2 linked regions of the Bombyx mori genome follow. The protein of the gene in region 2 binds, or shares a complex with, the protein of the main gene of each other region. Links are inferred from orthologs where the notes say so. Each region holds a gene or a part of one and is shown on either strand. Other genes may lie near its edges.

What was found.
Region 1: the proteins of myosin heavy chain, muscle (region 2) and myosin light chain 1 are in contact, whole or in part, in a crystal structure (PDB 5W1A), measured with the Drosophila melanogaster proteins. The link is inferred for Bombyx mori from reciprocal best matches to the Drosophila melanogaster genes Mhc and Mlc1. Residues at the interface, in NP_723999.1 of Drosophila melanogaster: Arg25, Ile26, Ser29, Asp718, Lys720, Met721, Arg722, Gln724, Ile725, Pro728, Arg776, Leu780, Gly781, Ile783, Met784, Ser785, Trp786, Met787, Gln788, Ala789, Trp790, Ala791, Arg792, Gly793, Tyr794, Leu795, Ser796, Arg797, Lys798, Phe800; in NP_001287569.1 of Drosophila melanogaster: Phe14, Val15, Val18, Met19, Asp33, Arg36, Ala37, Asn39, Leu40, Asn41, Pro42, Thr43, Leu44, Glu78, Gln79, Gly80, Cys81, Asp84, Phe85, Glu87, Cys88, Leu89, Lys90, Leu91, Tyr92, Asp93, Lys94, Glu96, Ala103, Glu104.

The regions. Positions count from the first base shown.
Region 1 is NC_085112.1:7,820,722-7,825,124, reverse strand, and holds the start of myosin light chain 1, read right to left. Parts: upstream 3,049-4,403; 5' UTR 2,570-3,048; coding exon 2,567-2,569; intron 2,249-2,566; coding exon 2,221-2,248; intron 605-2,220; coding exon 447-604; intron 1-446.
Region 2 is NC_085114.1:1,599,324-1,603,153, forward strand, and holds part of myosin heavy chain, muscle, read right to left. Parts: intron 3,246-3,830; coding exon 3,066-3,245; intron 2,822-3,065; coding exon 2,662-2,821; intron 2,055-2,661; coding exon 1,996-2,054; intron 1,726-1,995; coding exon of another isoform or gene 1,673-1,725; intron 1,149-1,672; coding exon 1,061-1,148; intron 883-1,060; coding exon 765-882; intron 1-764. UniProt on the Drosophila melanogaster protein: Muscle contraction.

The sequences.
Region 1 (4,403 bases), on a different chromosome or scaffold from region 2:
TTTGATTTATAAAAAAAAATACAATGAACAGCTAAAATATAACCAAAAGTATGTATTTAATTTTGATTAACAAACGCTGGAAGGCGCGCCTTGTTATTAACTACACAAATAAGGTTTTTAACAAGCTAGTCTTGAGCACTCGTATCACGCTTCACGTTTGTGAGATTTTCAGAAAAAAAAAATTATATATTAATGATCATGTAACTTGGAATTATGTTGTATGTATTTGTAAGGTCATGGCTTGTTGTGGTAATCGGTTACGGTCAACAAACCGCGTGGCATTAGATAAGACGTTACTCATAGTCTAATTAAGCTAATATAAATAGATACACACCGCTCATGCTTTCATTTTCCAACCCAAAACCTCTTTGGGAAAAATGTGTCAAATGATAGCAACAGTGACAAGCGGAGCTAGGTAACTAATAAAAAAAAAAATTAGAACATACTGTGAGCAGCTTCTCGCCCTTCTTCTTTGTACCACCGAGTTTCTCGATGGTTGCCAGTGTGGGGTTTGAGTTGAGCGCTCTCAGGAGATCGCCAAGGTTGAAGGCATCGATCTTACCTTTGCCTTCAAAGTCGTAGATTGAGAAGGCGAAAGACGCCCCTGAATAAACAGATCAAATTAAGATAAGTTTTAATCCATTTCGGTAAAATGTCATTTTATAGATTAAGTGCTTTAATGTAACGATGATTGGTATCCGGGACATTCAATAAGATTTATTCTTTTCCATAGAGCAAGGAATAAAATTTTCAAAGTTCCAAAGTTTTCAAAAGCTCCAAAGAACAAATACAGTTTCAAATTCGATCGCTAAGCTATGCTTAGCATCAGGCGTTTTATGTTGAAACCCGTATTGAATAGCAACCGATAAAGTAAATTTTCTCAAACACTATAATCGATCAAATCATATAGGTATAAACTTTTAGTTTTGTAATTACCTTATCTATTGTTTGAGAATTAAGTGTAAGCTCCATGGATGTTCAAATTATAATTTGATTTTATAAATACACTTCTATCTTGTATAAATAATCCTCAAAAACCTCTCTCTATTGTTTATACGAAATCGAATCAGAATAATTCATTCACAGCGTATTCTGAATTATAGTATTTATGAAAACGTTCCAACGAATTCTCGAACATGTTCCTGAAAACGATTGCCAGGTGCTTCGGCGCCGTGTGGGAACGTGTGGGCGGACATTCTTGCCCAGAATAATACTTTTCCACGCTGTGTTTCAATATTCACTGTACAATGAGTCACAGTCTAATATTAGAACACGACTCTGCCCCAATTTAATTTGGGTGCCAAATCCGACTGATTTGTAGATCATTTATTTTCGTTTCATTTCTCAGTTATCTAAGTTAAACTGCTCGAAAATCTATCGACGGCACATAAATGGATAGAAGGGCGTTTAAAAAAAAATATATTGGAATCTTACAAAAGCCAATAGAAACCGACAATCTTACTTGATCAAATCTTATCATAAAGAAATAAGGGCAAATTAGAAAGGAGAGATGAGTCTTATTTGATTTTTTACCAAATTGATTGGTAACGTTAACGAACCCATCGAATGAAAATTAAAGCAATTAGATATTAGTGTTATGCAATTTATCAGTTTAAAAAGTGTTATTTGAGATTTAATAAAATATAGCCCGATATTGGTACCGTACGTACGTATTTGTAATGTGTATGTATCTATTTGCAAACCAAAACGCAGCTGATCCAAAATGACGACCTTGATAATGATAAATATTGTAGGAAACCTAAATTTACCAAATTATAATCAACGATATAAGATGTATAGAAATATATCGATAGATTTATTAATTGTTTTAGTTACTACGCCAAGAACGCCCAAATTTTTGTTTGCAGTGAAATCCGAGCACGGTTTCTCTGTTTGGGCGGACGGCGGTGCCGGATCACGTGACGCTTCGGTTTAAATTTGGAACGTTCCGCGCGCGTCGAATATGAACAGTTGCCGCCAACTTTGCTGACCCGTCTACCACCGCCAATAATTCTTTAATTTGATACCATTTGATAATCAATGATACCATTTCATTTCACAATAATACATATTTAAATGTGCAACATGTAGAGATTCCAAAAACTTTTATATTCACAATGATTTTGAAATAATAACGTCATTAGTGTACGTTATTGATAGTTGATTAACTTCCAGAAAAAAAAAAATTATAATAAATTCAAACAATCAAACAATACTCACTTTCAACGTCGTTCTTGCTGAGGTCGCTCTGAAAATGACCAAAAATGTTTGGTTATTCCATGTTAACAGATTTCTTAATAAAATAGTTGTGTGGTGAATATTAATCTGTGTGTTCTTTTACATATTTGCATGTGTTCGTGTTCGATGATTAAAATGAAAGAAGTCATCCTTGATCGTAGCAGAAGCACAACACTTTTGTACTGCATAATTTGTGAATTCTTCCGAGTCGCCCGCAAACATTCGGATCACGAGGATTTGATCCGCGTTATCCGTCACTGATCTCGTTTTACAGTCCATAGTTCACACTGTACACATTATCACGTTTCCACTGTCATCAGTAACTCACCATTTTGTGTGGTGTTTGTCGGTTCCCTCCCGGTCTTCACTGGCAGACGTTCAGACAAGAAGTGGGGCTCCGTAACTTTTCGCGGGACGGTTTTAACTCGCTTAGATGGCGCACTCGTCTGGATATTTGAGATTTAGCCCAGGAATCAGCCACCGTTCTATTTTCGGCGAAGTAGATCCGTTTCCATGGTGTCTTCGAGTATACGTTCTTGATGCGAGTCGGAGCGAGATAAGCGATTTTCCACCTGCGCTGTTGCGGGGTATCGGGCAACACCAATCCAAATCGTAAATCTACATATACGCTAAACTATTTCGATCAGATCTGAGAGGTGTGATCTCCCTATTATCAAAATGTCGTCTTTAGTGCCAGCTGATGCTTGAAAAATTGATTAATAGCAACAACAAAATTGAGACATAGCTTTATCGTTTTGAAAGTGAATACTGCGCAGATGTCACTGTATACGAATCTCAAAAGGCATTTGCATAACAGTACATTTTGATCAATACATTACAGTCATTCATTTGCTAAAAATATCTCTTCGTTCAAATTTATTTCCGCATACATAACAGTGTTAAGAAGTAGTCCAGCGTTATCTAATGAAAAAAATATTATTCAAAAGCAAAATCAGCCACAATCTTATATTATGCATCTTGAGTTATATGAGCTATGTTTTTGTAGTCCATTTCGAAGCCAAAATAAAAAGAAGTATGGTTCAGCTTGTGTTCATATTTGGGTACGTCGATGGGTATTTTTTTACTAATCTGCTATATGGACTAAGTAATGTTGTCATGGTCTTATTTCTAGATGTTAGTGTAAGAAAAGTCGTCGTGCCTTAAAGGATAAGACGATCGGTATATTTGTATCGAGCGGCCGTGGTGTTCAAATCCCAGAGGCAGGTATCAACATATGTAATGAAATATGTACTTAGCAAATGTTTATCAAAGACTTCCATGATGAAAGAGCATCGTGCAATAAAAATCAAACTCATGAAAACTATAACTTGCAACATTACTGGTGGTAGAAGGTCTTGAGCCCGCACGGGTCGGTACCACCACTTTTTTTAACGCTACGGAATGCGTCTACGGATACCCTGTCGAGGGGGTAACAAATCGAGAAATATCGGACTTTGGCACCTCAGGGCTGAAGAGGGAGAAGAGGAAGATCGATGTTCTTCTCTTGTTCGAATTCCTCGTAGAAGACTATGCCTTGAGAAAGGCGCGCGAGAACCCACCCCATGGTATCGACTAAGCTCCATAAAACTTATCGGCTAAAATAATACCGCATAGTGCGCGTCGAGAAATAAATATCGCCGTTATCCGTCTTGATGACAGGATTTCTTCTCAAGAGAAATCCCAAAAGACATCCGGAGATACACCGTGGCTGGCGCACAGATCACACCTTGCGCCGTCTCACCACTGAGTCAACAGCTTAGCCCCGGACGTCCCCGCACCAGGCACTCGTCAGTCTCTACGGGAGCTGAATGAGGAGTTCCCTTTCACGTTTCTTTTACCTCACGGAGCACACTGACCGGGTTGCAGAGCACCACCACGTCCTCCTACAAACTCCGGGCCTCTAACGTGCAGGCGACCACAGCTCGCAAGGAGAGGTATTTCCCCAGCACAAGCAACCTACGCCTTGAGGGCGTGCTGAGCGTCATCATTCAGGGGCTCGCACTGCTGCCACCACGGACTTGATGCCCTTGATGATTTCTGCCGTGAAGCAATTGAAAGGTGAATTGAAGTGAAGGATTGAATTTGATGGGTGGGGCAGCCGTTGTACTGCAAAACTGAGGTTTAGAACTCATGTCGCAAGGTGGATGGCGGCATTTACAATGTTT
Region 2 (3,830 bases):
TACGTTTCAAAAACGCGTGTCATGATTTTGGATACACGTATCAAAAACTAAATATTAGAACAAAAAAAAAATAAAGGACCTGTTTATTAACGTGACACATAGGTATTTCTAAACAGGTGTTTTAAACTAGAGGTGCAAAAATCTATGTATTGACTACAAAAACGGTGTGGGTACACAAACTACATGAGTCGTGAATTTCTAGATCTCTATGTTGAGTCTGTCCATTTTCGACTAGGTCATGCGGTCACCACGCTAGGATGGTATCGATGTTTCCTTGCCTTTGTATGACCAATACGATAGCTTTCGGGGTCGAGCCCGACTTCCTCCAGACACTTCCTAGCTGCCTCTTTGGGATCTTTTTCGGCTGTCATGACGACGGGTGCAAGAATCATGTAGCTGTTTATTAAATATTAGTTTTATAAATGATTAAAATAGACAGAGCGTATCAGACGTTGTGCATCAGGACGATTCCCGACTGAGAGGTGAGAGTCATCGAAACTATTTGCGAATTCGTTGCTAGAATCTCCAAAATGACGTCAGCATTAGTCAGTGGTCGGCCATACAGAAATAAAATCTCCAGCGGCCTAGGAATGTTGTTTAGACTTCAGCGAGTCGAAAGTATGAATCCTCAGAATATATTTAAACCGTGTTGACGTGTGAAATAACTTTTATTTGATGACTCAAGAGCGTGATTTTCGTAAATGTTATTCTAATGTCTACTTCGTGATACTATAAATAGATTGTTTCATACAAGCGATTCTTACCGGAGCTTGAAGTCAGGGTATACCATTCTGTTGGGGAAACCTTTACGGCAAATACGGATGCCTTCAAGCACACCGTTACAGGTGAGCTGATGCATCACAAGGTGAGAGTCGATGAGACCTATGTAACACGGAAATCGATGTCAAAGATTATGTTTCGTTGAGGTCGTGTATATTTGGAAAATGAATACCCAATTTTAATGGCTTTTTTAAATCGATCGACAAATTAAAAATTCTTTTCCATCAAATTTTAATATATTCAAATTATTTTTTTGTATAAGTTTAAAACGAAAACTCACCAGCCTGTTTCAATTCATTGGGAATGATACAACGCACGAAGTGAGGTTGGGTGGATCTCAGCGTCGTCATCAAGTTGTTAAGTTGTTCCTGTATATATTGGTAACATTAATATAATTTCATATTTATTATAATTTAAAACGTATAAAGCAAAACCACATGAAATGCATGTAAAGAAAACTTGGTCGTAATTAAGTTTTCTATAAAAACAAATATAAGCCACACAACATATATTATAAAAACAAGTGAAGTATAAATTTTTGGTGAAACAAACATAAAAATAAAAAAACCAAAAGGTTAGAACGAAAAAAGCAAAAGAAAACTCAGTTGAAAACTTAGCAAGGTTTCGTATTCTGCTGATGTTAATAAATGTAATGGTTCCTCTTACATTTCTTCGTTAAATTACAATAAAATGCATCTAAAATGAATGAAAGTGCAATTCAAAATTGACGTATCTTCATGGGTGACATGATTTCAAAATTACCTCCAAGTTTCATGGATAATTTCGAACTACTAAAAACACTTGATGTAGGCTACATTTAGGTAGTTAACTACATCATTACGATAATAATAATAAAAAAACAATAAAATCTAGTAGTTGAACTATTAAATACCCTGTAAGCGGAGGAAACGGTAGCGAAACCACCACCCTTCTTTCCACGACCGCCTATGAATATACATTAAAACAAGCAAATTAGTTTTGGACGATCACAGGTATATGAAGACAGTAGGATAAGTTGACGAAATAACCGCGACGACATGAGCTGCAAATGTACATTAACGAAACATGATTATTAATTTGAAAGCGTGCAAGATCATCCCTATGCAAGACGCAACCTCTCATTCTATAGGCGACGGTCTAAAGCGTGTTGACAGAAAAGGACAGCACGAAGGAGCCACAGAAGCAAATCTCGGACAATTTTGTATGCGAGTTTACCCTGTAGAGTGATGATACAGTCTGGAAGGCAGAACCCTTAGCGCGTTTGCCACCAGCGCCTATTTCATTTTAAAACAGTGTCAGTATGTGATTTTTTTGTATTTTAATATAATGAACGATGAAGTCTATTCTATGAAAGCGTATGGAAGTTGATCGGTGAAGTAATTTCCAATACAAGCTTCGTTGATAAAATGATATTTGCTGTTATCTAAGGATCTTTTATATGTATTATGTGCGTGAAACAGTGTTACTTGTAAAGTGTAACACTCGAATGAAACGATGTAGATATATTGCGTGTATGATTTTAATGTGATTTAATTGGGGTTGTCGTCCCTGTGCCGCGTCCTCCGTATTCATATGCAGCGCAGTTTGGCGTTCAGTCAGTTCTTCTCAAATTTATTACAGCAAGAAAAAAATTAAAGTGATTGAAATTTAAAGCAAAGAAATTTACATTCACTTTCGCTTAAACTATCGAATGCAGAAGAATTACCCATCCGTCCGTAATTGATGACTATCTAAGATCGGTAATGGCGTAACCACAGAAGCCGTGGCTACAGACTCAGTTTAAAAAAACTCCTCTAAAGAAATACTTTTATCATTATCATCGGGATACTATAGAATATTATCATTAAATAAGTAATAAGTATTTTATGATGTGAAACGTACCCTTGCCACCGGCACCGCCGGAAGCATCACCAGACTGGCCAGGATGATCAGCGAAGATCTCGACCAGAAGTTTGTTCTGGCCCTTCTTGAACTGGTCGACGACGGTGTCGTTAAGCGGGTCCTTGTTCTTCTCGAGCCAACCGGTGATGTTGTAGCCGACCTGTGGCGCAAGGAAAGTTGAAGTTACAACATTTTCTTTGACGGGCGCTTAAATTTTTTGTGGCTGTGTAGCGTTCTTGTGTGAACTTTAAGAACCAGTGACGATGGGTTTTTGTTTTTGACAATGATTCATTCGTACAAAAGAGTTCTGAAAGGACGTGATTTGTTAAATTTCGTTTGGGCATACTAGAGCATTGGACTACTTCATCTTCAATTTGAGGTTTATAAATTGAACAGATACTTACGTTACCGGCGTAGTGACCAATGGCGAAGTGAGCAGCTTGGCAACCTGGCTTGGGGGGTTTGGGCTTCAAGTAAGGAGCAGATTTGCCCAAGTGGTTGTTGTTCAGCTTCTCAACGAAGGTCTGGTCGGTGGCTTTCGGGAACATAGACTCTTCCTCAAGAATGGAGAGGATACCCATAGGCTGAAAGCGTATGGTTGGGGTTAGACCGCGAAATCGAATTATTTTATATATATTTTAAATATTTTCTTTACAAATTTTCTTTTTACTTTACCGTACAGCATACTCAAAGTAATTAAATCAGTTAGAAGATAAATAGCGAATTGTATATTTTATTTGATTTCAATGGCACTCTAAAAAAGCTTTTACACGAAAATAATCGGCAAGTTCTTATTAAGCTTCATGCAAATTGAAAAGTGTATTTTGTAGCTGTTCGTATACTTTGATACTCGTTACAAGCTTAATAGCATCAGTAAAAACAGTAGAAAGCTGTTTTACATTGCTTCATATAAATATGTCAAAATTTTACCGAAGCATTTACATTTGCTGTGCGGATCTATCAGCTTTGTGTGGTTTAATAAAATTTACAAATACTGTTTGAAACAAATCGAAAATGATTGAATTGTCAGCAATTGAGTTGATATAAGTTCAACGTGCTTTATAAGCATTTGACTTTACCTCATCTACGGCGGTGTCAATGAAACTATAGATAAATTGTCTGAAGTTAATCTGGCTACGACTTAATGCCTGAAGCTTAAGAGGGAACCT